Oryctolagus cuniculus: one gene and its partners. The protein of the gene in region 1 interacts with the protein of each later gene in a pairwise test. Links are inferred from orthologs where the notes say so. Each region holds a gene or a part of one and is shown on either strand. Other genes may lie near its edges. The genes, in order: EMILIN1, BEX5, ZC2HC1C, NMI, PLAC9, IFT20 and BEX3.

Region 1 (3,941 bases):
CCTTCCCCTCCCCTCGTCTCCGTTCTTCAGTTCTCCCCCACTGTTCAGGCTGTGCCAGCTGCCTTCCCTCCTCTTAGCCAGACCCCGTCGGCCCTCGGCCCACCCTGCCCCTGCCCTGTGGTGGTTGGGTCTCAGGGCGGTGACCTGCTTCACACAGCCTCAGTTGCTCCTTCATGGGCGGGGGCGGGGTGGGAGGTCTTTGCCACCTGCTGCCATCCCCTGGGCCGGGCACAGAGCATTCTCCTGTCTCCTTGCTGTCTAGTGCCCTGGCGTCTCTCTCCCAGAGCACGCCCACGACAGGAGAGCCCGGGCTGGGACACCATGCTGCGAGTGCCTGTGGCACAGTGGCCAAGTTTCTGCCTTCTCACAGAGGCGCTCAGGTTTGCCTCCAGTCGGGGAGTGAGTTCCTGTGGCGCTGCACACACAGGTCCCAATCTTTACACCCGGGGTAGGGTCTGTCCTTCACCGAGACCAGCCTGGGCCCCTTATTCGTGTGGCCCTTTAAGAAAGACATTCTTCCTCCTCCTACCTGGCCCCTCCATTGCTTGACAGAGACAGCTCTGTCTCCAGGTCCCTTTCTCCCTCTGCCGGCTTCACTGCCTGTCCTGCCTGCCTTTTTCTTCTCCCTGGCCCAGGAACCCTCTCCGCTCTCCTTCTTTCTCCCCAGTCACTGACCGAGGTGCTTGGAGTCTAATCTCACCGCGACCATTGACTTGCTGTGTTACCTTGGACAAGTGGCTTTCCCACTCTGAGCCTCAGGGCGCACTAAGAAGCAGCTGGACTGCATGGTGAGTGGTGTCTGGCTGAGCCCTGCAAGTCTCTTTTCTCTTTCACCGCCCCCACCGGCCAGGCTCCCTCCCTCCCTCAAGTCCTCTCTCCCAGGGGAGGCCCTGGCCCCTGAGAGCTGTGGCTCTGGCCCCTGCTCCCTGTCTACGCCTCCTCCCAGCTGTGGCCCTGGCTCCGTGTGCCCTGTCTGAGAGGCTGGCCCCAGGCCCGGCGGCAACTCCACATTTCTGTTTTTCCTTTTTTTTTTCTCTCTCTCTCTTTCCCGGAGTTAACAAGAAGCAGATGTGGCGCCCGATGGTTGGAGAGGTGGGGGGAGGCTGGACCGGGAGCCAGACAGGGGGAGGGAGGGGAGGGACTGGGGAGAGAGGAGGCGGCCGCCCCACAGCCGCTCTTGCGCCTCTGACCGGCCACAAGGGCAAAGCCCTGTCACCCCCAGGATCCGGCCATCAGGAGAGAAGGGCCAGCTGTGGCCGGGGGGCGGGGGCACAGGGGCAGCATCCGAGGGGGCCGGGGCGCTGAGAACAGACTCCCCTCAGGAGTGGAGAAGGGGAGAGCGGAAGGAGTCTGAGGAGGGGAGAGGAGGGGAGAGGGGTCAGCCCAGGCAGCCCGGGAGGCGGCGGCGTGCGGCTGGGGGCTGCCTGCAGGAAGCCGGGCAGCGGGACCGAGTTGGCTGTCCCGCGGAGTGCGCCGGCGGCCAGGCCGGGATGTGCCTCTGAGGCCCCGCAGAGCGCCCCCGCCATGGCCCCCAGCACCCTCTGGAGCTGCTGCCTCTGCTGCCTGCTGACCGCGGCCGCGGGCGCCGCCAGCTACCCTCCCCGAGGTTACAGCCTCTACACAGCGGGCGGTGGTGCCCTCAGCCCTGGGGGGCCCCAGGCCCCCAGCGCACCCCGGCCTGCCAGCCGCCACAGGTAAGCTCTGGGGCCCAGGCCGGAGGCGGGCGGGACGCGGTGTCCCTGGGAAGGAGGGCAGGGGAGGCCCAGGTGGCCCCTCACAGGTCTGCCTTCCTGCCGGGCCTTTTCCAGGGTCCCCTGAACAGTGGACGCCTAAGGGGCATTGGCGCCCACGTCCTCCCGAGGGGGGACCTGCAGTTGGGCACGGAGGGAGTGTGAGGGGCATGGGCCAGGCTTTCCTGCCGGCTGCCAGCTGTACACCAGCCTGGATCCTCGGGCTGATCCTTTGTCCCCATCGCACTGGGTCCTCCTGACCCCACTCCAGCCCCCCGGGGGGGCAGGGCTCATCAATGGCTTATTCTCTGCTTAACCCTGAGCTGAGCAGGACCCCTGCCTGCCCGTCCTCTCCCCTGCGGGGTGGGTGGAAGCCAGCATCCAGGAGATCACCGACAGGGCCGGGCCAGTGCTGGCACTCAGCCTACCACGCTGGGAGTGAGCCGGGGCCAGAAAGGGATGCCAACACTTGCGCGATGTGGAAGCTCCCAGGACCCCACAGCCCCGAGAGTGGACCTCTCCGGGGTGCGCTTTTCCAGTCTGTGCCTCTCCCCATCTTGAAAAGTCTTTATCTGCTCCTGCAACACAGGAAGGCGTGGGGCCTGCCCCTGCCGGGACCCTGGCTCTCACTGGCCACTCAGGACCTTTTGACCCAGCCCCTCTGGTCGTCCCTGGGCCTCCTCCGGGACCTGTGTTCTGGTGCTTGGGTCCAGGTATGGTTGTGCCTGCAGGAACTGGTGTGCTTACGTGGTGACGCGGACGGTGAGCTGTGTCCTTGAGGATGGCGTGGAGACTTTTGTCAAGCCGGACTACCAGCCCTGTGGCTGGGGTCAGCCCCAGTGCCCCCGAAGCGTCATGTGAGTCCCGAGAGCTTGGGGTGGGCCCTCAGTGGAAGCTGCATTAGGCGGGTGCTGACTCAGGGAGTTTGTACAAAGCAGATAGCAAGGGGCAGGCCTGGGCTCCAGCCAGAGGAGGCGCCGAGGCGACAGTTTGGCTGGTGGGGCACAGAGGGCAAACTGACCTCTCCTGCAAGCACCCAGAAGCTTTCGGTGGCCTGGGACAGGTCATCTACAAGGGGGGGGGGGAGATCGAGGTCCTAGCACAGGGCAAGGGGAGGAAGAGCAGGGACTTGGCCCTTGGCCAGAAAGCTGACAGCTGTCAACTGAGCAAGGCCACATGCGGGACAGCTACAAGGACCCAGCCTGAGGGCAGGCCTGACCCAGCAGCGGCTCCGAGGACAGGGGCCGGGGTCCCTGCCGGGACAGGCAGCACTGAGGAGGCCGCCTCTGCTTCTGCCAGGTACCGCAGCTTCCTCCGGCCTCGCTACCGTGTGGCCTACAAGACAGTGACGGAGATGGAGTGGAGGTGCTGTCAGGGCTATGGGGGCGATGACTGTGCCGAGGGCCCTGCACCCTCCACGCCGCAGCCTCGGCCCCGGCCTGGCCGCCCCAACCTCTCTGGCTCCAGTGCAGGCAGCCACCTGAGCGGACTTGGGGGAGAAGGTGAGCAAGGGAGCTGCTGGGGGTGGGTGGGGGAGCCGTCCTGAGCAGACAGCGCGGGCCAGGCTGCCGACGGGAAGCCGCGCTCCAAGTCAGAGAGAAGGGAGTTCCTGAGATCCCTGAAACTCCCCATGCACGCCTTGCTGTGTGTGTGTGCGCGCGCGCGTGTGCACGCGGACAGCTAGAAAGCAAGAGAAAAAGAAGGCAGAGAGAGGGGAGTGCTCTCGCACGCCCACGTGTGGCCAGGATCCTCCCTAGTTGGGAACAGCTGTGGAGGAAGGGGACCGTCCTCTGAGGAGCTGGGTCTGTGGGGAACAGCTGAGACTACAAGTCCTAGCATGCACTGCACCTGACTCTGGGGCCCAGGCCGCCCCGTGGCCTCCGGAGACTGCAGATCCCAGAATGCAGCAGTTCCCACGGCTTCTCCTCCCCGTGTGCGGGGCACTCCGGATGCGCCGTGCTTTCCTGCCAGCGAGATAGCCACGCCATAATTATGGAAACAGGAACTTCTGGCTGACTGTCTGACTAGGCAGCCAGAGCCCCAGCTGGCTGGCCGCGGGCCCTCTGTCTGTCCCCGCGGTGCTGGAGGGACGTGATGCCCAGTCACAGCTCCAGCGCAGCATGGCCAACGGGCCTCTCGGCCAACCCCACCTTGTTCCGCTTGACGGGAGACAGAGAGGGTCATTCTCATCCACAGTGAGGAAGCCATGTC
Region 2 (4,114 bases), on another chromosome or scaffold:
TATTTCAATTAGCTTATCAGCATTTCTCTGTATGTGGGTTTGACAATTTTCTGGTTCATTTCTCTACGTTTATTTTGGTACAATACTATTTTACCATTGTAGTTTTACAATGGCTTTAATCTGTTAGTGAAAGTTCCCCAAATTATTGTTCTATTGAAAGACTTCACTGGGTGTACTTTACAGATGAAGCCAAACATTTTTGTAAAGTGAAGTGACACCCAATTTAGAAGAGATATTCAGTTTGTTACAGGCTCTCAAGATTTGAAAATCTCCCAGTAAAGCTCATGGTGCACCATCTTATGGAAAGATCCACAGACAGATTCTTAATTGGGGGAACCTTAGGTTTATATTTCAAAGTCCTTAAAGAGGGCAGGAGTGCACGGTTATGTATAAAATGATTCAGCAGCAGAAAAAGTTGCCAGGTTTTGCAAGTCAAATCTCTTTTTTTTTTCAACTCAAAACAGTAATGTTGTCTAATGATAATAACTAAACTATGAGTAGATGCAGATGGGCAATCTAAAACAAACATCGCTCTCCAAAAAGGAAACTAATTAAAGTAAACCTTTTTAAAAAGATTTTATTTGTTTGTTTGAGAGGTAAAGTCACAGAAAGAGGGAGAGACAGAGAGAAAGATCTTCCATCTGTTGGTTCACTCCCCAAATGGCTGGAGCTGGGTCAGGCCAAAGCCAGGAGCCAGGAGTTTCTTCCGGGTCTCCCATGTGGGTGCAGGGACCCAGGGACTTGGGCCATCTTCTACTGCTTTCTCAGGCCATAGCAGAGAGCTGGATCGGAACCGGTGTCCTTAGGGGGTGCCCACACAGCAGGTGGAGGCTTAGCCTGCTATGCCAGAGCACCAGCGCCTAAGGTAAACATTTTAAACTGTCCTGTCTTATCTATTTTCCACACTTCCTAGCCTCACTCTCCCTCCTCCCACATGCTTCCCACCCCACCACACCCTCACCAAGCTGGGCCAATCTGAGACTCCACCAGCAAGGCTGTTAGGGTAAATTCTGGGATGTTACTTTCTGGGCAGTGAAAAGGAGAGGAGTGGGCATTTGCGTATATAGAATATGAAGAAACAAGTCCCTAAAAGCTCCAGCAGAAATCACGGCAAGGCAAACACAAACAACAAAATAATAAGACTCCTTTGGTCTTATTGCTAAATAGGAAATGAAAATAGAGGGGCGGGTAGTAGCTTAAGGTAGCCCTGGTGAAGGCGGGAATGAGGAGAAAGGGAGCTCCGCCCACACCCACACCCCCACCCTTCTGCCGCACTGCAGGTGTGAATGGTAATTGGGACTCTGAGCTCACAGTGACGTGGCCCTTGCGAGGTCTAGAGCGGAGCTGAATTTTTCTCTCCTCCTAGTTGCGGACTAGCAGTCGTTTGTGGCAGTGCGGCTTCTCATTGTTGCCCTGAAAGCCAGCGAGCCAGTTGCCCGGGGAAGGAGGAAAGTGGTGAAAGCTGACACCGATCCTTGGCAGGTTGGTGAGTGCAGTCGGGGGGGCAGGGGTGGTTCCGCTGGTTCCGCTGTCCCATCCCCAACGCCCACCCATTTGGTGCTAGAAATGAAGGGCTTGGGAAGTGAAGAGGGACCCGCGATCCCGCGATCCCGCGATCGAGAATGCGTACGCGTTGGCGTCTTTTAGGAGGCGGGCGACTGGACAAAGTCTGTTAGAGGCAGACGGGAGGAGGTAGCAAGAAAGCGGCAGAATTCCTTCAGGGCCGCGGGTGAGTGGGAGGCCGCAACTGGAGACCTGGGGATGAGGAGGGCGGACCCTGTCACGGTTGCAGGCCTGTATTGTCGGTATCTTTTATTCTTTGGGAGTCAGAAATGATGGACTGCAGGGGGCGGGGAGGGTAGTTGCTTCAGAGCTGGGAGATTAGATCTGAGAAGCCGCGGAGCAGACTGAGGGTTACGGGCAGCCGCTAGAAACTGTTTCTGGTCCCTGCGGATCAGTGATCAGTGTAAACGTGGACACTGCTTGTAGACTCTGGGATCAGAATGGTAACGCGCTCTGATTGCAGCGGATCCTGGTTTATATCCACAAGACCTCTTCTCCCATCGTCCATCTTGATGCATAAAATGGTGGGCAAGGGAGCAGAGTGCTCTGGAGAGAGGGCAGTGGGTCCCATAGAGGCCTAACGAATATCCAGGTTGAAATCCTTTGTAAATAAACCACGACTCCACCCAGAAAGCTCTTCTGACTCCTCCGCCACACAAGTTGTCCATCTGCTTTCACTAAAATTAAAAAAAAAAAAAATTGCCAATTTGATGGGATGAGACAGTGAAAAATAGGAAGCCTCAAAAAGAGGTTAAAATTGTTTGTAAATAATTATTTTTGATTGCACTATTTCTGGACGGCGAAGTAGCCTGTTACACGTTGGGAAAAGAAACCCCAAGATAGGATGGAGGAGAAACAGAAGTTGGTCATATTTGATTAGGAAAGTCCCAATTCAACAATGGAACAGATGCTCCCAATACCAGTCCTTTGATCAAGTGATCAGTCCTGACCATTATCGCATATCTATCTGCAGGGCTTCAGATCCATTGGCGCAGCAGATTTCAAGACAGAAAAACTGCCTGTGGTCACTGCAGGTAGGGACTTGCCTGGGACTCTCGGGTGTACGGATCAAAATAAAACCTGGGGGACGCAGTCTTCCTGCTTGAGTCAAGTGCAGGAGTAACCTAGTGGAGTCTGAGCAAAACAGCAAGCCAGTGGCTGCTGATGGGCTAAGAGAACAAAGGAGTGAGTTCTGGGGTGTACCTGGAGAGCTTACCCGGATCCCTGAGAGCTGAGGTATGGTCTCTCAACTGCTGCCCCGCCTACCACCCTGTCCTACATTTTGGTGGGAGTGGCCTGGGGAAGGATTTTCAGGGAAAATGGTGGGCTTTGAAGCAGGGCCAGGACTGGGGCGCCCCCTAGAAGGATCAAGAAGTCTCTCAGGTGGGAAAACCTTTGGCGGACGGAGTTCTGAATATTATTGCTGACTGTTCAATCCCTCTCCTTGCTGTTTATGTCCTAGGAAGAAGAAACAGGAAAAAAATCCTTAACATGGAAAACGTTCCCAAGCAAAACAAGGTCGGAGAGCAGGCCGCAGTGAAGAATGAGGAGGAAGCCCGTCCTTTAGAAGGCGGGGAAGGCCAGCAGCCTGGAGGCAATATCAGAGGGGGTTGGGTTCCACCTGTCCAGGATTTTGGAGAAGATATGCCGGATAGGCTTGCCAATAACATGGATTTGATAGATGGAGAAGCAGATGACATGGAACGGTTCATGGAGGAGATGAGAGAGCTAAGGAGGAAAATTAGGGAGCTTCAGTTGAGGTATAGTCTGCGCATCCTTATAGGGGACCCCCCTCACCATGATCATCATGATGAGTTTTGCCTCATGCCCTGAATCCTGAGGTTAACGATAACAAACCCCCTGCTTTCCAAACTAGCATTTTCTTGATGTAAGCTTAACAGTGAATCTTTTGGTGTTCTCTTGCCACTTGCTGATTGGAGATTTCCTTTGACCTGGTCTGTAACTGTTTCTGTCAGCAGGGGTGTGTCATCAACTTGCATGGAAAGATGTTTATCTCACATCATAAAGTTAATAAAGCATTTAAAAAGCAATTATGGACATTTTATCTCATTTAAAAACACACATCTACACTATATATAATACAGGAGTGGGTTTTTGGTCTAGCAGATGAGACTTCACTTGGGACATCCTGGTTCAAGTCCCCACCACTTTCCAATTCCAGTCTCCTGCTAATGTGCACAGTAGGAGGAAGCAAGCACGGTTGAAGTAGTTGTGTCCTTGACACCCACGTGGGAGACCTGAGTTGAGTTTCTGATTCATGGCTTTGGCCTGGCCCATCCCTGGCTATTGCAGGTATTTGGGGAGTTAAGTGAACTAAGGGATACAAAATCTCTCTCTGTCTCTCTGCCTTTCAGATGAATAAATATATTTTTGAAAATAATATACTATATAGTATATTGTATAAACCAAGATGTGTTTTTCTCTAAGTAGCATAGTTATTGATACTTTTTACTTTTTTTCTTGATTATCTATTTTTTCTGACTTTAAAAAAACAAATACATACATTTTATATGTGTTGGAGAAAACATAA
Region 3 (4,177 bases), on another chromosome or scaffold:
GACGGCACAAGTGCTTGGGCCCCTGCAACCATGTGGCAGACCTGGAAGAAGCTCCTGGCTCCTGGCTTTGGATCAGCACAGCTCCGGCCATTGGGGCCAATTGGGGAGTGAACCATCAGATGGAAGACCTCTCTCTCTCTCTGTGTAACTCTTTTGAATAAATAAATAAATCTTTAAAAAAAAAATGTTCATGGGCCTGGCACCGTGGCGTAGCAGGTAAAGCCACCACCTGCAGTGCTGGCATCCCATATGGGCGCTGGTTCAAGTCCCGGCTGCTCCACTTCCGATCCAACTCTCTGCTATGGCCTGGGAAAGCAGTAGAAGATGGCCCAAGTCCTTGGGCACCTGCACCCATGTGGGAAACCGGGAAGAAGCTCCTGGCTCCGAGCTTCGGATTGGCACAGCTCCGGCCGTTGCAGCCAACTGGGGAGTGAACCAGCGGATGGAAGACCTCTCTCTCTCTCTCTGCCTCTCCTCCTCTCTGTGTAACTCTGACCTTCAAGTAAATAAGAAATCAAATCTTTATAAAAACCAATGTTCTTTTTCATCTTTTTTTTTTTTTTTTTTTTTACATAACCCATGTTCCCTAAAGAAAGCTGGTGAGGACACCAGAGGCCCTTACAACATTCTCCACACAAAGTCAAATCCACACGGCCCTTGTTACCTTGACCGAGGCTGGCCCCTTCCAGTTCAAGTACTGCTCCAGTTCTGTGCCCTTGGCCCGGGCCCTGGAGGAGTCAAACACCTTCCTCCTGGAGCCCTGCACCCTGCTGCAGACGTTGGAGTGTCGCTCCAGCCTCAGCAGGAGAAACGTGCGTCCACAGTGGCTGCACTGGCCCAGTTCCGGCTCTTCAGAACAGCTGGAACCCGAAGAGCCCGGTGCCCTGCACAGGCCGGAATCCGTACCGAGCCCCTGGAAAGCACCGTCCGGCGCTTCCGAAGACTGAGAGACCTTCTCCGTGGATGGCCCCGAGACCCCATCTTTGATTTTGTTACTGTTTGCCGCCAGCCTCTCCCTTTCCAGCTCCTGGACTCCATGATCAGAGAACTGGCATAGACCAGCATTTTCTCGAGACCGCCTCCAAGTTCCATCCTCTCTTCTGTCACTCCTGGGCGCCTCCTTGGACCTAAATCCTGGGGGGAAGACGGGCTTGCACGCGGGGTGGCTGGCACCACCGTCCGCTCTCCCCCGGGAGAGAGCCATTCTCCGGAGCGCTCTGTGTGCGTTCCCCTCGGCCTCCTCCTTGCCCCTCTGGATCCTCCTGAGCTCCTCCTCCGTCCTCTTCAGCTTGTTCCGCAGGACGATCTCCTTTCTCCGGATTTCCTCCTCTAAGCTCTCCCCCAGGGCTTCCAGTCTCTGGATCTGCACCCACTCAGACCTGGTGAGGTTTGCCACGGCCCTCTCGCCCTGCATGGCGGCAAGGACGGCACCAACCACAGAGGGGTTCACCGTGCTCCTTGGCGTGAAGTTGCTGTGTGGAAGCTCTCTCGGCTCAGAGGCGCTCACGTAGACACTCTGGTTCCCAGCGGGGCCAGCCTGCCCTGTACTGCGAGACTTCCGGTGGACCATGGGTTTCAGCGGGTACGCCCGATCCACCCCAACTCCCTTCTTTGTGAAGGGACCTAAGTATGGGTTATTTGCTTTGGGATGCCAGGACGGAGGGCCCGATGCAGCGAACCAACCTTGTCCTTGGCCCTGGGGCCCGCTGCCTGACTCAGCATCAGCACAGCTAGGGGAGCTGCCCCCGGCTTTGGAGCGCGTGTTCTGGTTGGGCGGGGTGTAGACGTTCTCCCGCGTCAGCTCTCTGCTGCTCAAAAGCCTCTCCCGGACATTGTTCCTCCGATGCCCCACAGAGGACGGCTGCGCGGTGTCACCTTGTTCATAAGGGTCTCGCCGGGCGGAGTGGAGCCCCGCAGCCTCTGTTTTATTATGTGGGAACATAACGCCCACAGGCAGATATGGAGCCAACTGGAGGTCAGCCATTCAGGGCCTGGATGGAAGCCTACGGGGAGAGTCAAACCAGATCCATGTGCTGAGTTTGTCTGAGGCTCACCCCCGGCTGCTAAAGTAAACTGTTGCTACATCTGCCCTACTCACATTTCCCTCCAGCTTCGCTAGGGACATGGCGCTGGGTGTGCCAGAGCTCTCCAATGCGCATTCGCAGTGAGTGGTGACCACCCGCTCTGTTAGGTCCCGAGGGTGGAAAGACACAGTGACCCGGTACCAGCCCCCGCCATCTGCACTCTACTCGCCCGCCAGCAGGCGAAGCCAGCGCTGGATGGAGGGAGAGGTGTTAGGCTTGGGGAACACAGTCTCTCCACCTGTGAACTGAAGGGTTCACTCCAGGCCCACCATCTTACAGGTGACAAAACCAAGCCAACCCCGTTCAAAGAGTCACCGTGGCGCAGACGCCGGAGGCCGCTAACCTGCGAAGAAAGGGGCTACCTGAGCCCCTTTCAGATCTGGAACCCGGAAGTTCCGTCCGGTGCCAGTCAACCCGGGCGCCCCCACTAAGGCGGGGGTTTCTGGGGACAAGCCCTCGCTCTCCTGCTCCTCGGGCCCTCGGGAGGTCGAGGTGTTCACCCCACGTCTCCCCGCCCTTCTGCGTACCTCCGGCTCTGGGGGCACCGCGGCGGCTCAGGGGAAACCCCAGGACCTGGCTTTCCAGACCCGGCCGCCCCCAACCGACGTCAGCGCAGGCGCTCTCCGCGGGCCTCGGCGATTCCCGTTGCCTGGAGACGAAAGCGCCTCGCGCGCCGAGCCCCGCCTCTCGCAGATCGCCGCCGCAGAGGCACGCGCAGGCGCAGTCCGCGCGTCTTCCTGGGCGGGCGGATGGCGGGGGGAGGGTGTTGAGAGTGGGAGGCGGGGTGCGGTCAGCCCGAGTTGTTGTCACTTGACCCAGTGTCCAGCCAACTCTGCAGCTCAGTTCAGCCCTGCCCTTGGGGAACGGGGGAGGAGGTGGGAGAGGCTTTTCTGGGGCGCCATCAAAGGAGAACTTGTATTTTTCTGAGAAGCATGCTCCCAGGCCCCGGGGTGTGCCCGTCCCTGGCAAAGGGTGGAGCCCCGCCATGTGCCCCGGAGTCATCCCACCGCAAGATCCCGGCGTCCGCCCGGTTAGCGGGAGTGGGCCTGCTGATAGCCCTTGTTAGCACGCTCGGCAGCTCTGTACGGGCCCCAGGTATGGCTGCTATCTTTCCGTGCTTTGCCTTGCCAAACTGGAGCTTGCCTTTTTTTTTTTTTTTTTTTTTTTTTTGCTACGCAGTATCTTTCCGGGGTAGATTTCGTGGCCAACCTAATTATTTTGATATTGTGATGTTTTGCTGTCACGTGGTGACCCGGACCATCTCTGCTTAGGACCTGGGAATGACTCAGCCAAATGTGATGATAATAAAGTTAGCATAACAGATTGAAAATAATCAGTATAACCTAGTTTCAACACTGAATGATGGTCTGTGACTTGTTGACATCAGAAGACAGTTTATTTGTCTTCTTCGTGCTTCAGTTCATTTGTGTAAGCTGTTTGGAACAGGCAGCTCGTTTTTTTCCCTGTAACTACTCAAAGGATTCATGCACATGGAAAATAATGTAGACAGCAGTAGTCAGCGTTAACGCTTCCACAGATCCTATTACAGCTTGTACACGGCACAAAGAAACTCTTTGGTGGGCCCCTCCAGGGCAGTCTTTTATTCCTTGTTTTCATTCCTAGTGGACTAGACTGCCTTAGTATACAAGGGGACTTCCAAAAGTTTATGGGAAATAGATTTAAAAGAGAAGTTTATTCCACTGCAAAAAATAACTGAGATCTGTGCATACCAGAGGCCTTCAAAAAGTTCTAGGAAAGGTGTATTATGAAAAAACTATGCATGTATATTTTGGACCAAAACAAACAATCTTTTTTAATTCCGTTTTTCCACAAACTTGTTAAAGTTCCGCAGCTCCAGACATTTCGCAGTTAGGTCAGCCTCTGACCTCGCCTTAATCAACTCCCACAGTTTCTCTCCAGCCTGGCTGACTTTCCCAGGGCGCCTCCCTCTCTCCTGACTTCCTTCCTTTTGTTCCGCAGGAAGAAGGGTCTCTCTCTTTCTTGAATTGGTGCCTTTCAGTACCCTCCAGGAGCTGACTCGGTCATTGTTCCCACTTCTGTCTTCATAACTTCAACTTGTGCATCTCCCTACT
Region 4 (3,500 bases), on another chromosome or scaffold:
GAGTATATTATTATATTTAAATATATTTACAATTTATAACACACATGTATGCAATGGAAAATGGAACTGAAAGTTTCTTTTGGTTCAAAAAATTTTTGAAAACCATACATGGTTTTTCCGTATATGCATTTTCTGTGAACTTTTAAAGACTCCTTGTATATGATACTCTAATCATCGTTTTCATTTATACTTCTTGAGAAACTAGGAAACATTCTAGTCTTGTTAGAATGATTGGATGAATTTCTGCAGCTGATTTTTATGTTTTACGCAGCTCAGAGTAGGTCTTGTTAAGGATGTTACTGCCCTCTGAATATTGTTGGTTGCAGTGGATAGTTTAAGAGAAAAAGAAGCATTTAAAACTATTTTTTTTTATTTTTAAAAACTATGTGCTTGAGTCTTCAAAATGGAGTGTATAATTCTTTAGAAATTAATCACTGAGGGGCCTGTGTTGTAGTGTAGAGAGTTAAGCTGCCACCTGTGATTCTGGCACCCTATTGTGGAACACTGATTTGAGTCCCGGCTGCTCTGCTTCTGATCCAGCTCCCTGATAGTGCCCTCGTGCTTAGGCTGTTACCACCTATGTGGGAGCTCTGGATGGCGTTCCGAGCTCCTGGCTTTGTCCTGGACCAGTCCCAGCCATTATGGCCATCTAGGGAGTGAAGCAGCAGATGGAGATCCCTTTTTCTCTCTGGGTCTCTCTGTGTCTCTGTAACTCTGCCTTTCAAATAACTAACTAACTAACTAGCTAACTAAATAAATAAATCTTTACAAAAGTGAACAATCATGTTGTAGTGTTCACTGCAGTATTGTTCTGTTTGCAGGACTTTTTTTTTTTTTTTTTTTTTTTTTTTTTGTTCATAGAGTTACAGAGAGAGAGGGAGAGAGAGAGAGAGAGAGAGAGAGCGAGAGCGAGCGCTAGCTACCTTCCATTCTTCCATTTGATGCTCCAAATATCTGCAATGGCCAGGACTGGGCAAGGCTGAAGCCAGGAGCCACGAGTTTTATCTGGGTCTCCTATGTGGGTTCAGGGGCCCAAGCACTTGGGCCATCTTCCACTGCTTTCCCAAGCACATTAGCAGGGAGCTGGATCAGAAGTGGAGCAGCTGGGACTTGAACCAGTGCCCATATTGGATGCCTTGCATTGCAGGTGGAGGCTTAACTTGCTGTGCCACAATGCTGATCTCTTGTAGGAAGTTTTAATTTGATTAAATGTTTGTGATACTAAAGAGAACCATTTCTTTTTATTTACTTTTAGTTGCTGACAGGATTTTGGAAAGGAAAGATTATCCTCTTTACACAAATCTGAAGTGCCATAGAGTGATGGTTTCTCCATACATGGAAACACATTTGAAAAAGTATCAGGTAAAGTCACTTCTTTTCTTTCAGTTGGAGAACTCACTGCCCAAGCCCACCCCACAAAAAATAAAGAAAAATTTGTATCTGTTACTATTTGAATGTTATCAGCTGGGAACATCAAAATAGTGACTTCATTTTTGCTTGATACAGAATGAATTTGTCTTCTTAAAGACTTTTAATATAAATCTGTGTCTTATTTATTGTACTGATTTTTATTTTAAAATATATTTATTTATTTTCATTTTACTTGAAAGACAAAGAGATATTCCATACACTGATTCACTCCCCCAAATGCCCTCAATAGCCAGAGCCGGGCCAGATCGAAACCAGGAGCTGGAAACTCTATCCAGGTCCCTTGTTTGGATGGCAGGAACCCAAGTACTTCAGCCTTGTCTGCTGTCTCCCAGGGTGTGCATTAGGAGGAGGATGGACCAGACACAGATGGGCCAGCACTGGAACCAGGCACTCTGATAATGGGATGGAGCATCCCAAGAGGCAACTTAACTGCTCTACCAAAAGCCCATCTTCATTATACAGTTTTTTTTTTTTTTTTAAAGATTTATTTGGCCGGCGCCATAGCTCACTTGGCTAATCCTCCGCCTGCAGCGCTGGCACCCGGGTTCTTGTCCCGGTTAGGGCGCAGGTACTAGTTCCGGTTACTCCTCTTCCAGTCCAGCTCTCTGCTGTGGCCCGGGAGGGCAGCGGAAAATGGCCCAAGTGCTTGGGTCCCTGCACCCGCATGGGAGACCCAGAAGAAGCTCCTGGCTCCTGGCTTCGGATCGGCGCAGTGCCGGCTGTGGCGGCCATTAGGGGAGTGAACCAACGGAAGGAAGACCTTTCTCTCTGTCTCTCTCTCACTGTCTACAACTCTACCTGTGTCTCTCTCTCACTGTCTAACTCTGCCTGTCAAAAAAAAAAAAAAAAAAAGATTTATTTATTTATTTGAATGGTAGAGACACAGAAATAAGGGCGGGGGGGGGGGGCGTGGAGAAACCTCCCATCTGCTGGTTCATTCCCCAAATGGCTACAATGGCTCTGGCTGGGCCAGCCCGAAACTAGGAGCCAGGGGTTTCTTCTGTTTCTCCCATGTGGTTGCAGGACCCCAAGCACTTGGCTGTCCACTGTCGCTTTCCCAGGATGTTAGCAGAGAGCTGTATCAGAAGTGGAGCAGTTAGGACTCAAATTGGTGCCCATAAGGGATGCCGGCACTACAGGCAGAGGCTTAACTTTCTACACCACAGTGCCAGCCCTAGTCATACAGTTTTTTGAGCGGAAAATTCAACATGATGGCATGACCTTTATTTTTAAGGTGGAGACATATGTTCATTTCTCTCATATGTCTACTCATTGTGTCGCTCCCCCTCTTCGTGGAGGAGCAACACAGGACCCTGCGCTGTTCTTTCGTCTGCTCGGCCCTCCCCGGGTTTGCTGCTGGTTCTTCCCGGGTTGGCTACTATCCCTTCCACCTCCGTGGAAGGGCAGTTCCCCCTGGCCACATTCCCCACCTTCCGCAGGGGAGCGGCACACCGCCAGCCGGCTCTACTCGGGGGCTGCACAGGTGTTCCTTCAGCTAGATGTTCCCCATAGATGTTCCCGGTGCATGCCGTCTCTCTCCTCCTTTATAGTCCTCCTCCGCCAATCCCAACTCGGCTGCCCACACGCCGAGTACGCTGCTCTCCAATCAGGAGCAAGTCCTACAGTTAATTGGTTGAACTGGAGGCAGCTGTGCGGAAGCTGTTTACTTCTCTCCCAGCGCCATATTGTGGGAGAGCAGATGCATAGAATAAGTCTTAATTCCAGTAACAGTCTAGTCCGGTTTGCTCCCCACAGATCCCCCTTTCTTTTTATTTTTGGCGTTGATACGCGCCTGTCTTCGGTGTCCCGCGGCACACACTCTGCTCTACTTGCTAGAGTTGCCACAGGCTCTTACAAGTCCTATCAATCAGGAAAACCGAATCCGGGTCCTCTCTTTGCCATTGTGAGGAGGTTTTTAGGCGCTGATGCGTGCCTGTGTTCGGTGCCCTGCAGCGCATGCTCTGCTCTGCCTGCAGGGGACTTACAAGACCTATCAGGCAAACCGAATCCAAGCCTTCTCATTGCCTTATTGTGGGGGAGACTTATTAGTGTTGGTTCGTGCCTATCTT
Region 5 (3,987 bases), on another chromosome or scaffold:
GTGCCAACACACCGGGTTCTAGTCCCGGTTGGGGCGCCGGGTTCTGTCCCGGTTGCTCCTCTTCCAGTTCAGCTCTCTGCTGTGGCCTGAGAAGGCAGTGGAGGATGGCCCAAGTGCTTGGGCCCTGCACCCCATGGGAGACCAGGAGAAGCACCTGGCTCCTGCCTTCGGATCAGCACGGCCATTGGGGGGTGAACCAACGGGGAAAAAAAAAAAGGAAGATCTTTTGTTAGAGTCTGAAAAAGCCCACCACGCGAGGAACGACTCCAAGAGACCTTTCTCTCATGCAACCAGCAAAGGGTTAAAGATTTATTGATTATCCAGCATGCTGGGGCTGTCCGATCATACATGAGCAGAGCAGCCCCGAATAACCAAAGGTTAGGGTTTATAAAGGCAAAAACCGCAAAACCAGGAAGGGGGGAAATACATGGTTGCTATGCATGGTTGCTATACACAGTTGCTAAAATCAAAAGAGAGTATATAAAATCAAAAGAGAGTATATGGTTACTGGGGTCAACATAACCTAAAACCTAAGTGAAATTAATATTCATCATAATCTTGACAATACCAGTTACAAGATTACAATTAGCAATTAGGACTTGACATTAATGTAAGACACAGACAAATCACATCTTTATTATTAGCCCAGGTAACCCAGGTGCCACTTGAGCAATCATGCTAGGGGGTTTTTGTGCTCTGCCAAGGGTGATGTAGTGCACTGCTATTGTCCGACTATTTGAGATCATAGTTTCAGACCAGAGTCTCACGGTGGGGGGGTGCTTTCTCAGAATGGAGTCTCAAGTGCTCCAAAATGGAGTCCCTACTGTCAAGGTGCTACTTCACTCTGTCTTATTTTTACAGCTGTACCAGGAATGTTATAACCTGTAAGCTTAACTTTTTACACCCGCACATATACAATTTTAACTTTTCACTTTCTCTCTGTCTCTCTCTCTCACTGTCCACTCTGCCTGTCAAAAAAATAAAAATAAAGAAAGAAAAATATTACAGATCTGTGTCTGTTTTTTGGACTGATAGTGACTTTCTAGGGTGCATCCCTTATTAATGAGTTCGATAAAATCTTTAGCTCCTGCTCATTTTATATCTGTGTGAGTCCTGATTTAACGTTTTTTTGGAAAAGCATCTTTTCACATCACTGTCCCTTCTTTCCCGGAAGAAGGACTTCCTACAGAAGACCCAACAGCAAGCCTGCGATCCCACAGACGCTGTCTGAGGCCATCGGAGCCCTTTCTTGTTCCTCGTGGAGAAAAGCTTCTTCGCACCTGGGGGGGGGGGGGGAGGGCTTTGGCGCCTGTGCCACAGCTGTGGGTGACAGCGGGACTCAGTCTACCCCTCTGTGCAAGGAGCTCACAGCGACTGCCTGAACCCCGGAGCTGCCGCCCAGCCTCCCCTTGCGCCCTGCACCCCGCGCCCGGGGCCCCGGCAGTGCAGCCGCTGCCTGGGAACGCTCCCAGTCCAGCATGACTGCCCCTCCGCCCGCGGGGGGTCTCTGGGCTCCGCGCTGCTCCCGGGGTGCGGAGGGACTCGGGAGGGGGCGGGTTCACTCGAGCCAGAAAGCCCGGAGCCGCCCAGGAATTTTGGCTCGGGCTGGGAGCATTTCCTCCCGGGCTGGCCCGGCGCGATCCCGCGGAGGGCTGTCGCTGGCAGACGCGCGCAGCGCTCGGTCCCGCCGGCATCATGCGGCCCCTGCTGTGCGCGCTGGCCGGGCTCGCCCTGCTCCGCGCCGCGGGCGCTCTGGCCGGTGAGTAGGGGCCGCGGGCCCGCGTTGCGGGCAGGGGACTGGGAGCCCGGGAGGCCCGCCGAGGGCAAGGTGGGGATGAGCGAGTGAGAGAGATGCCAGGCAGGGAGGGAGGGAAGGAGGGAGTGACAGAACCGGCGGGGAACAGAGGCACAGAGAGAGACAGGGGAGAGGGGAAATAAGGGATTAGAAAGAGGTTTTGGAGAAACACAGATACCAGTTAGGGCAGAAAGCAAAAGGAGTTGAGAGCAACAGAGCAAGAAACAAGGATTGAAATGGAGAGAGACGGAGACCGATGTTTTCAGAAAAACCTATTGAGAAAGTTGAGAAAAGCTGGGGGGGGGGGGGTGCCAAACTGCTGGTGAAAGGAGACAGGAAGGGGTAAAAGGTCAAGTTTGTAGGGTGGGGCAGCCCTGAGGCCAGCTGGGAGCAGGCCTGGCTTTCCAGGGCGATGCACTGGAAGCTGAGCTCCAAGGCCAGTGACCCAGGCAGGGCCCCACACGGCCATCCGGCCATCCTGGAGCCAGGCAGACGGCCCCTGCCGTGTGGGGACAGAGTCAGATTCCAGGTTTGTTTCTTTAAAGGATGTATTTATTTATTTGAAAAAAGAAGGAGATCTTCCATCCACTGGTTCACTACCCAGTTGCCTGCAACAGGCAGAGCTGGGCCAGGCCGATGAGGAGCCAGGAACTCCATCGGGGTCTCCCATGTGGGTGGCAGGGACCCAAACACTTGGACTGCTTTCCCAGGCTAGCAGGGAGCTTGTTTGGAAGTGGAGCAGCCAGGATTCAACCCGGCGTCCTGATATGGGGTGCTGGCGTCACAGACAGCACCTTAATCCATAACGCAGCCCCAGGATCCAGCTTGCCGGAGAGCTTTCCTGAAGGCTGAGCTGCTTTGAGTGGAGAAACAGGGGGCGAGCACCCCCCACCCCCGTGTGCACACGCCCCTGGCTGAGTTCCAAGCTTTGCATTGTGTGCTTTATTCCCCTTCTCATGCCAGTGGTCTTCAGGCTGCCCCTGCACAGGTGAGGCACAGACAGGATGACAGTGACAGAGAGGTCACCCCAGAACTGCACATTCCACAGCACTGTGCAGGGTGCAAGCCAGAGAGTGCTCGTGGTTCATCCGAGTGCCCAGGGGAGGGAAGGCTCAGAGCCCTCACCAAGCACCCAGCCCTCCTGTCCCCTCGCTGGACCCTGTGCTGGGACAGAAGCCTCCCGGGTCCCTGTTGGGGCCACATGACCTGTGTAGGCAGGCACTCCAGGAAAGGCCCCGGGCCTAGGCAGGGCTCATCGAGGAGGAGTGACACACACCTGCTGCTGACCCCGGGATGTGCCCGGCCAAGAGCAGGCATCCACACACAGGACGCTGGCTCTCTTGGACAACCCCAGGGCTCTCTCTGAGCCTCCGTTTCTGCACCTGTTCAGGAGAATCAGCCGTTTCATCACAAGGCTGCCAACGAGTGCCTGCCCAGGCCCTCGGTACAAATCCTCCTTGGCCCAGCTCCTCTCTGCCCGGCCTCACACTCCCAGAGCTGAGGGCACCCAGCAGAGCCTGTGACTGGCTGATTTTCTGTGGCCCCTGTAGCCACAATTGGTATATACACTTTAATGTGAATTTCCTTTAAAATATTAAGTTTTTTCTTCTGATTATGTATGTTTAGAAGCTACAGATTAAGAAAAAATAAAGAGGAAAGTATAAATACATGCATGAATATAAGTTCACTTTTTAAAGATTTATTTATTAGAAAGGCAGAGCAACATAGAGAGAGGGGAGGAGAGAGAGAGAGAGAAAGAGAGAATTTTCCATCAGCTGGTTCACTCCCTAGGCCTGCAAGAATCCGGACTGCGCTGGGTTGAAGCTATAAACTTGGAATTCCATCCAGGTCTCCCACATAGGTAGCAGGAATAAAGTGCTTGAACCTTCATCCGTTGCTTCCCAAGAGCATCAGCAGGGAGCTGGACCAGAAGTGGAGTAACCAGTACTCAAACTGGCACTTCCATACAGGAGGCAGTGGCTTAACCACTGGACCACACCGCTCACTCCTCTATTCACACATTTCGTGTATAACCTTCAGGTTGAAGATAATATCCATTTTTTTTTCTTAACTTTTGTTTATAAAATTTTCTAAAAGATTTTATTTATTTATTTATTTATTGAAAGGTAGAGTTATAGACAGTGAGAGGGAGAGGGAGAGACAGAGAGAAAGGTCTTCCTTCCGTTGGTTCA
Region 6 (2,877 bases), on another chromosome or scaffold:
TACCAGAGCAGATGGAAGCTCTCTCTCCATTTATCTCTTGGCTTTTGAATAAAAACAAATACAAGGTTTCAGTGGATTCGCGAGGCCAGGGTCGTGCAGGCAGCCGTGGCTGGCCCGCTGCATTGGACTGCATTGCTCCTTACAATTTTTGATGCTTAGGTATCAGATTGCTGTTCCTTCTGGAATTCAGAAGTTCTGGCCCCAGTGAGACCTGTTCTTTCCCGACCATTGCTCCTCCCATGGCACACCTTGGGGTGCTCACTCCCAGAATCACCCCACTCAGGAGGGAGCTAAGGCAGGTGGGAGGGGAAACGGGAGGCTGAGGGAGAGAGGGCTGGGGCTGGCGCAGGGCCAGTTGTGGGTAGCCTCTGGATGACCCGGGTTTTGGAATTAGCTAGATGTGATCAGCATTGCCTCCCCTTTGCAACTGTAAATGTTGTTTTGGTTTTGTGTTTTGAAAGCCAGAGTGAAGGTGAGTTTGCAGTTTCCTTCCCAGAATCGAGGCATCTTGGGCCAGGAATGCAGGGGGGCTGGGGAAGGGAGAGTGCATCTTGTTGATTCTCTGTTGCCTATAAAATAATCCAAACTCTGGCTTGGCCCAGGGAGCTTCCTGGCCTGCTTCTAGCCCCCCTTGCAGCTCCCTCCACTTTCCGCCCCTCCAGGCAGCGTAGGCCTCTTTCGGTGAGTCTGTGCTGCTTTCTTCGCTCGGAGCACCTCGCCGTGGCCTCCTCCCTTGGTATGTTCTATGCTGACACTTCGTTCACTCCTTTTTGTGTTTCCTGCTAGAAAGAGATTAGTCCGACTTTGGTTCCCAATTCAGGCAAGTATATGGTATCCTTTAGCATACATTTTGGTCAGATTTGTCTCCTGGGTTCTTAACTTTTTGACCCTAATATGTTTTTGGAAGAGATTTACTTATTTGAAATTTATCTTTTATTCACTGGTTCACTCCCCCAAAGGCCATAATGCCTAGGGCTGGTCCAAGCCAAAGCCAGGAGCCCAGAGCTCCATCCAGGTCTCCCACTTGGGTGGCAGGTGCCCAAGCACTTGGGCCATCTGCTGCTGCCTTCCTAGGCTCATTAGCAGGGAGCTGAATTGGAAGTGAAGCAGCCAGGACCTGAACCAGTATTCTGATATGGGATGTGGCATTGCGGGCAACAGCTTAGTTCACTCTGCCACAATGCCCACCTCAACCTTAACCTACAGTTGAATTCAGAGGCAGAGAGAGAGGTCTTCCATCCACTGGTTCACTCTCTAATTGACTGCAACAGCCAGAGCTGCGCCCATCTGGAGCCAGGAACCTCTTTCTGGGTCTCCCATGTGGGTGCAGGGGTCCAAAGACTTGGGCCATCTTCCACTGCTTTCCCAGGCTATAGCAGAGAGCTGGATCGGAAGTGGAGCAGCCGGGTCTTGAACTGATGCCCCTGTGGGATGCTTTATCTCTGGGTACACAGCTGAGGACATGTCAACATGGCCATGGCTCCTAATAGCAGAGCCGCTCTTGACCGCCCTGGCCTCCTGCAGCTCTTCGGTGGTGTTTGTAAAGCACTTAACCCAGTATGATTGTTCAGTTTCCGTGTGTGTCTTTCTCCAGCTAGACCGTGTGTCCTCCAGGGCAGGCGCCATGTTGCATTCAGCTCTGTACCCCCAGCATCTAGCAGTGTGGGCACGTGGTAGGCACTCAAGAAATGTGTTGAGTGAACGATGCCTGTGACAAGCACCTGGACTTTATTCTTTCCTGACCCTTGCTCCTGTGACACACCTCCTCCTGACTGTCACTGTCACCCCTTCAAAGCAGAACTTCTCTAGGGACTCTGGAAGGGAAACAGGTGAGGCTCAATGGGTGGCTGAGGGAAAGGTGAGCCTTTGGAATATTGGGGTTTACGGCACTGGTATTTGGGGGCAAGGGGGGGCTGGAACGTTGACTGGGGACTGGGACTGGTTTCTTTGCAGCTATGGCCAAGGACATCCTGGGGGAAGCAGGGCTGCACTTTGATGAGCTGAACAAGCTGCGAGTGTTGGACCCAGAGGTCACCCAGCAGACCATAGAGCTCAAGGAAGAGTGCAAGGACTTTGTGGACAGTGAGTAGCACTGGAGGGCACAGTGCCATCCCAGCCCAGCTGCGGCCTGGCCCTGCTGGGGGTTAGGTCTGGCCTCTGAATTCCCATGTACCACACTTTGTCTTCCTGCTATTTTGCAGTCATTAGTCCCGAGTGTCCCTCAAAGCAAATGGGGATGAGTGGAGGGCTTTTTTTCTTCTCTTAAATGATTTTATTATATATCTGAAAGTTGAGAAACTGGTTTAATCCCCAAATGGCCAGGCCAAAAAAAGCCAGGAGCTTGGAACTCCATCCAGGTTTCCTCTGTGGGTACAGGGGCCCACACAGCAGTTCTGCTGCTTCCCCTGGGTATTAGCAGGGAGCTGGATATGACTTGCAGCAGCCAGGGCTTGAACTGGTGCCCACAAGGGATCCTGGTATTGCAGGTGGCTACTTAATCTGCTGTGCCACAGTGTTGGCCCCCTTATTTATTTGAAAGGCATTGCGGCCAGTGCTATGGTATAGTGGGTAAAGCCACTGCCTGCAGTGCCAGCATCCTGTATGGGCGGCAGTTCGAGTCCTGGCTGCTGCACTTCCAATCCAGCTCCCTGCCCCTACACCCACATGGGAGACCTGGAAGAAGTTCCTGGCTCCTGCCTTTGGATTGGCACAGCTCTAGCCATTGTGGCCAACTGAGGAATAAACCAGTGGATGGAAGAACTCTCTCTCTCTCTCTGCCTCTCCTTCTCTCTCTGTGTAACTCTTTCAAATAAACAAATGTTTAAAAAAAAAAAAAAAAAAGGCATAGTTACAGAGTTCATTTTCTGGTTTACTCCC
Region 7 (3,328 bases), on another chromosome or scaffold:
ATGGAATAGGAGAACCCACATATTTTTGCTTTCTGTACTTGTGAAAATGGGTGAGAACTCCTTCCAGTCCTCCCAAAGTATGCGAAAGGAGCCTATTAAATGCTGGGAGTTAAAGAGGAGCCAGCCCAACAGTTTCATCCCTCATCTGGTCCACTTAGCAGCCCTGTAAGATAAGCATTGTTCCTCATTTCACAGGACTCTAAAGTAATGTAACTATAATGAAGGGAGGAATTATTCAGTTAAGACTGGAAAATATCAAGGTTTACTCTTCTTTAGGTCTGTTGAGCCAGTAATTGTTATGTACCTGCATTTTATTCAGATACTCGTTGAAAAATCATTTCCATTGCTTCTCAAACTCCAGATAAAAAGAGGAAAAGTCACACAATATCTCGCCACACAGAAATGCATCCCAGTGAACACTTTGCTGTGTTTCATTTCATACTTTTGGCTCCTGTTTTATGAGTCTATACTCTTCAATGAGACAATAATAAATATCTAGATTGCTTTTCAATTGCTTTATTAACTTTACATTTTTCCATGCAAATGGATGAAACTCTACTCTGACAGAAACTTAGTCTGGGTGCAGATGCAATTTTCAATTAGAAGCTGGCAACACAAGACCCACTTGACACATGGAAATAACATAAGGTTCACAGCAAATGGATCCATAAAGGCATGTTGGGAAAATGCAAGGAAAAGGAAATCAATGGGAATCACAGTATTAATCTCACGGAAAAGGGCAGAAGTCAAGGCATAAGGCAAAATTCATCATGATGGTCATGGTGATTGGAGAGCTCCCCCATAAGGATACGCAAACAATTCCTCAGCTGCAACTCCCTAAGTTTTCTCCTGATTTCTCTCATCTCCTCCATGAACATTTCCATATCATCCCCATCTCCACCCATCCCATCATTGCCCTGCCTATTGGGTATGGCCCATCGAAAATTAGGGGCAAGTCGGCGAGCCTGTCCCCGTCTGTTATTTCCTGCAGGCTGGTGGCCTTCACCTCCTCCCAAAGGGCGGTCTTCTCCATTCGGCATGGGCTGCTCCATTGGTTCGTTTTCCTGGTGGATATTTGCCATGGTGAATTGAATTTTTTTTTTCTGGCTGTGTTTCTTTGGACACAAGTAAAGGGTGAGGAGAGACTGAATGCGTGGTGCACTGACCAGCAGGATTCAGAGCCCTGACACCACAGGTTTAATTTTTCCCACCTTCGACGCTTCGTGCGCCCTCTAGGGGGCCTCCAATGCGAGCCCCTCCCTCTAGCTCTCTCTCCTCCTCCTCCCCTCATCCCCCATCCCCTCCAAAGCCCACCATTTTTCTTTTCCCAGGATTCTTTCCCAGAGCTCTGCAGGCACCAAAATGGAGGACAGGGACAGGGAGGGGGAGGGGGCACGGGTCGCTGGAGGGGTCTGGGGTCCCAGATAGGGTTTCCGCACGCTCCTCCCCGCCGCCCCCACCCCGGTCTGTCCCACCGACCTGGGCCTATCCTTGCGGTCTCCTCCTCCTCCCGATTCTCGCCGCCGGCGCGCCGCCGCGACACTCAGCGCCTCAGACCTGCAGACCTGCAGACGGCGGGGTCGGGGAGAGGGGGCGGCTGCAGGCGAGCGCTCGGCACCGCTACGCCCCCCCTCCCCGCCCCCTGCCGGCCCCTTCCCGCCGCCCTGGCCCCCGCGCCTCCGTCCAGGCCCTCAGCGGCCGCGTCCCTCCGCAGAGCCGCCCCGCCCCCTCCGGTGTTCACCGTTTTCCCGCAGCGTCCCGGGGCGGGGGGACTTCCTCTGGCTCCTGCCTGCTCTGCTGCTCTCCCCTCCAGCACCCCAGCCGCCCCTGCACCCCTACTCCTGGGGGCCACTGTATAAACAGAAAGCGGCGGGGCCCGCTGCGCTGTTCTCCTCGCCCGCCGCTGCCGCCCTGGCCGCCGGGGCCCTCACCTGCTCCGCTCTGCCCGGGCCCGATGCCAGCCCGCCGAGCGCAGGGCAGCGGGGAGCTGGTAGCCAGACGCGAGTGACGACTGCACCCGAGGCTGCGTCCCTCTGCAGCTCGGGGTCACGTGACGGCCGCGCGTCACCGCCGCGCTCGCCCCCGACTCCAGCGGCCAGTGTTGCTGAGCCCCCCGCCCCCAGCAGCCACAAGCACACGCATCCTTTACCCACCCCCCGCCCCCGAAACACTCACACCGCCTATCTTTGTGCGGTGGTGCCCCGATGTACACCGCCCTGTCACTCATCTCCATACTCTCCAATCTGAGGGCCTACAAGTGGCATCATCGCCTTATGGTTGGAATTTGCTCGCTGCTGGTTTCTAAGGAAGTTCTGTATTATCTTCCATCACCCGCATTCCCACCTCACTGCATTCTTGGTTTTGACCTTTTCTGCTTTCTCTCCTTTCTCCTTGGCTTTGAACTTTCCCCTGTGCCCTCTCTCCCCATCTTGCCCTTTCAGTCACCAATGCCCACCTAGCCGCTAAGTCTTACCCTGCTAGGAAGTTTAGAATAAGGACTGAGTTGAAGAGGCAGAAGGGGACTCGTCAGAAAGGGAGATGAGGAAGGGGAATGGGCTGTGTATACTTTTCTATTTCCTTTTTTTTTTAAGTAGCATGCCTCAGAAAATTAGAAATAACCAGTTTTCATTTTTGAAAGAAATGCTTCATCCTGCAGAATGAAAAAGCCTCATTGTTTATGTAGACCTGTACCACACAGAAAATATTTTCTCTGGGCTCCACACAACATTAACATCACTTTGGAAACATACTGTACTGCTGGCCTGTTGCAAAATTTTGTTTGGAAAAAGGAGGGACCCTTCCTGAATACAGCTGGTGTTTGCAATGTAATCTGTAAAGTAAATCTTCAGAGAGAAGTCTGGTTGTCAGACTTAGGGCATTTTATAAAACTTTGTGTGATGGTTTTGATACCCCCAGGCATCAGAGTAAAGGAGCCTTTTTATTCCCTGCCTTCCTTTCCAAACTTTCCAAACCACCCTGACAAATATTTTCTTAGAAGGAGCTCAGAAGTTAAGTCTCTAATAGTCAGAAATTAGACTCAAAGCCATCTACTTTTTGATGTCTTTCAAAAATATTAGAAATAAACCGGGGTTGTGTGTGCAGTGACTAAAGACTGAAACTCATCCCAAGTACAAACGTTCTGTTCTTCAACTTGAAATCCTTTTTTAAACAGTTATCACAGCTAGAGAGATAACATAAAGAAAGGGGCATTGTTATGAAAAAGTATTTAGTAGTTGTTGATTGTGATAAAAAAAAAAGGAAATCATCATATACTGCCCTAAGACAAGACAGACCAGACAAATGCTTTACTGCCTCTGGTTTGGGCCCC

Evidence for each region.
Region 2: the proteins of EMILIN1 (region 1) and BEX5 interact in binary tests that used the Homo sapiens proteins (3 or more experiments, as listed by UniProt). The two-hybrid records come from large-scale screens. The link is inferred for Oryctolagus cuniculus from reciprocal best matches to the Homo sapiens genes EMILIN1 and BEX5.
Region 3: the proteins of EMILIN1 (region 1) and ZC2HC1C interact in binary tests that used the Homo sapiens proteins (3 or more experiments, as listed by UniProt). The two-hybrid records come from large-scale screens. The link is inferred for Oryctolagus cuniculus from reciprocal best matches to the Homo sapiens genes EMILIN1 and ZC2HC1C.
Region 4: the proteins of EMILIN1 (region 1) and NMI interact in binary tests that used the Homo sapiens proteins (3 or more experiments, as listed by UniProt). The two-hybrid records come from large-scale screens. The link is inferred for Oryctolagus cuniculus from reciprocal best matches to the Homo sapiens genes EMILIN1 and NMI.
Region 5: the proteins of EMILIN1 (region 1) and PLAC9 interact in binary tests that used the Homo sapiens proteins (3 or more experiments, as listed by UniProt). The two-hybrid records come from large-scale screens. The link is inferred for Oryctolagus cuniculus from reciprocal best matches to the Homo sapiens genes EMILIN1 and PLAC9.
Region 6: the proteins of EMILIN1 (region 1) and IFT20 interact in binary tests that used the Homo sapiens proteins (3 or more experiments, as listed by UniProt). The two-hybrid records come from large-scale screens. The link is inferred for Oryctolagus cuniculus from reciprocal best matches to the Homo sapiens genes EMILIN1 and IFT20.
Region 7: the proteins of EMILIN1 (region 1) and BEX3 interact in binary tests that used the Homo sapiens proteins (3 or more experiments, as listed by UniProt). The two-hybrid records come from large-scale screens. The link is inferred for Oryctolagus cuniculus from reciprocal best matches to the Homo sapiens genes EMILIN1 and BEX3.

What each region holds. Positions count from the first base shown.
Region 1 is NC_091433.1:175,879,194-175,883,134, reverse strand, and holds the start of EMILIN1 (EMILIN-1), read left to right. Parts: upstream 1-1,141; 5' UTR 1,142-1,524; coding exon 1,525-1,694; intron 1,695-2,443; coding exon 2,444-2,587; intron 2,588-3,029; coding exon 3,030-3,232; intron 3,233-3,941. UniProt on the Homo sapiens protein: Involved in elastic and collagen fibers formation. It is required for EFEMP2 deposition into the extracellular matrix, and collagen network assembly and cross-linking via protein-lysine 6-oxidase/LOX activity.
Region 2 is NC_091453.1:90,755,362-90,759,475, forward strand, and holds BEX5 (protein BEX5), read left to right. Parts: upstream 1-1,343; 5' UTR 1,344-1,482; exon of another isoform or gene 1,483-1,486; intron 1,487-1,602; exon of another isoform or gene 1,603-1,729; intron 1,730-2,536; 5' UTR 2,537-2,597; intron 2,598-3,025; 5' UTR 3,026-3,054; coding exon 3,055-3,396; 3' UTR 3,397-3,614; downstream 3,615-4,114.
Region 3 is NC_091451.1:21,123,644-21,127,820, reverse strand, and holds the start of ZC2HC1C (zinc finger C2HC domain-containing protein 1C), read right to left. Parts: upstream 2,801-4,177; 5' UTR 2,612-2,800; intron 2,237-2,611; exon of another isoform or gene 2,099-2,236; intron 2,004-2,098; 5' UTR 1,985-2,003; coding exon 665-1,984; intron 1-664. Other genes in the region: ACYP1 (acylphosphatase-1), read left to right, coding at 3,017-3,179.
Region 4 is NC_091434.1:90,607,337-90,610,836, forward strand, and holds part of NMI (N-myc-interactor), read left to right. Parts: intron 1-1,255; coding exon 1,256-1,362; intron 1,363-3,500. UniProt on the Homo sapiens protein: Acts as a signaling pathway regulator involved in innate immune system response.
Region 5 is NC_091446.1:70,295,155-70,299,141, reverse strand, and holds the start of PLAC9 (placenta-specific protein 9), read left to right. Parts: upstream 1-1,187; 5' UTR 1,188-1,695; coding exon 1,696-1,759; intron 1,760-3,987.
Region 6 is NC_091448.1:43,881,858-43,884,734, reverse strand, and holds part of IFT20 (intraflagellar transport protein 20 homolog), read left to right. Parts: intron 1-662; exon of another isoform or gene 663-736; intron 737-1,594; exon of another isoform or gene 1,595-1,798; 5' UTR 1,799-1,829; intron 1,830-1,953; 5' UTR 1,954-1,955; coding exon 1,956-2,082; intron 2,083-2,877. UniProt on the Homo sapiens protein: Part of intraflagellar transport (IFT) particles involved in ciliary process assembly. May play a role in the trafficking of ciliary membrane proteins from the Golgi complex to the cilium.
Region 7 is NC_091453.1:90,036,098-90,039,425, reverse strand, and holds BEX3 (protein BEX3), read right to left. Parts: upstream 1,987-3,328; 5' UTR 1,932-1,986; intron 1,930-1,931; exon of another isoform or gene 1,742-1,929; intron 1,566-1,741; 5' UTR 1,480-1,565; intron 1,116-1,479; 5' UTR 1,083-1,115; coding exon 747-1,082; 3' UTR 501-746; downstream 1-500. UniProt on the Homo sapiens protein: May be a signaling adapter molecule involved in NGFR/p75NTR-mediated apoptosis induced by NGF. Plays a role in zinc-triggered neuronal death.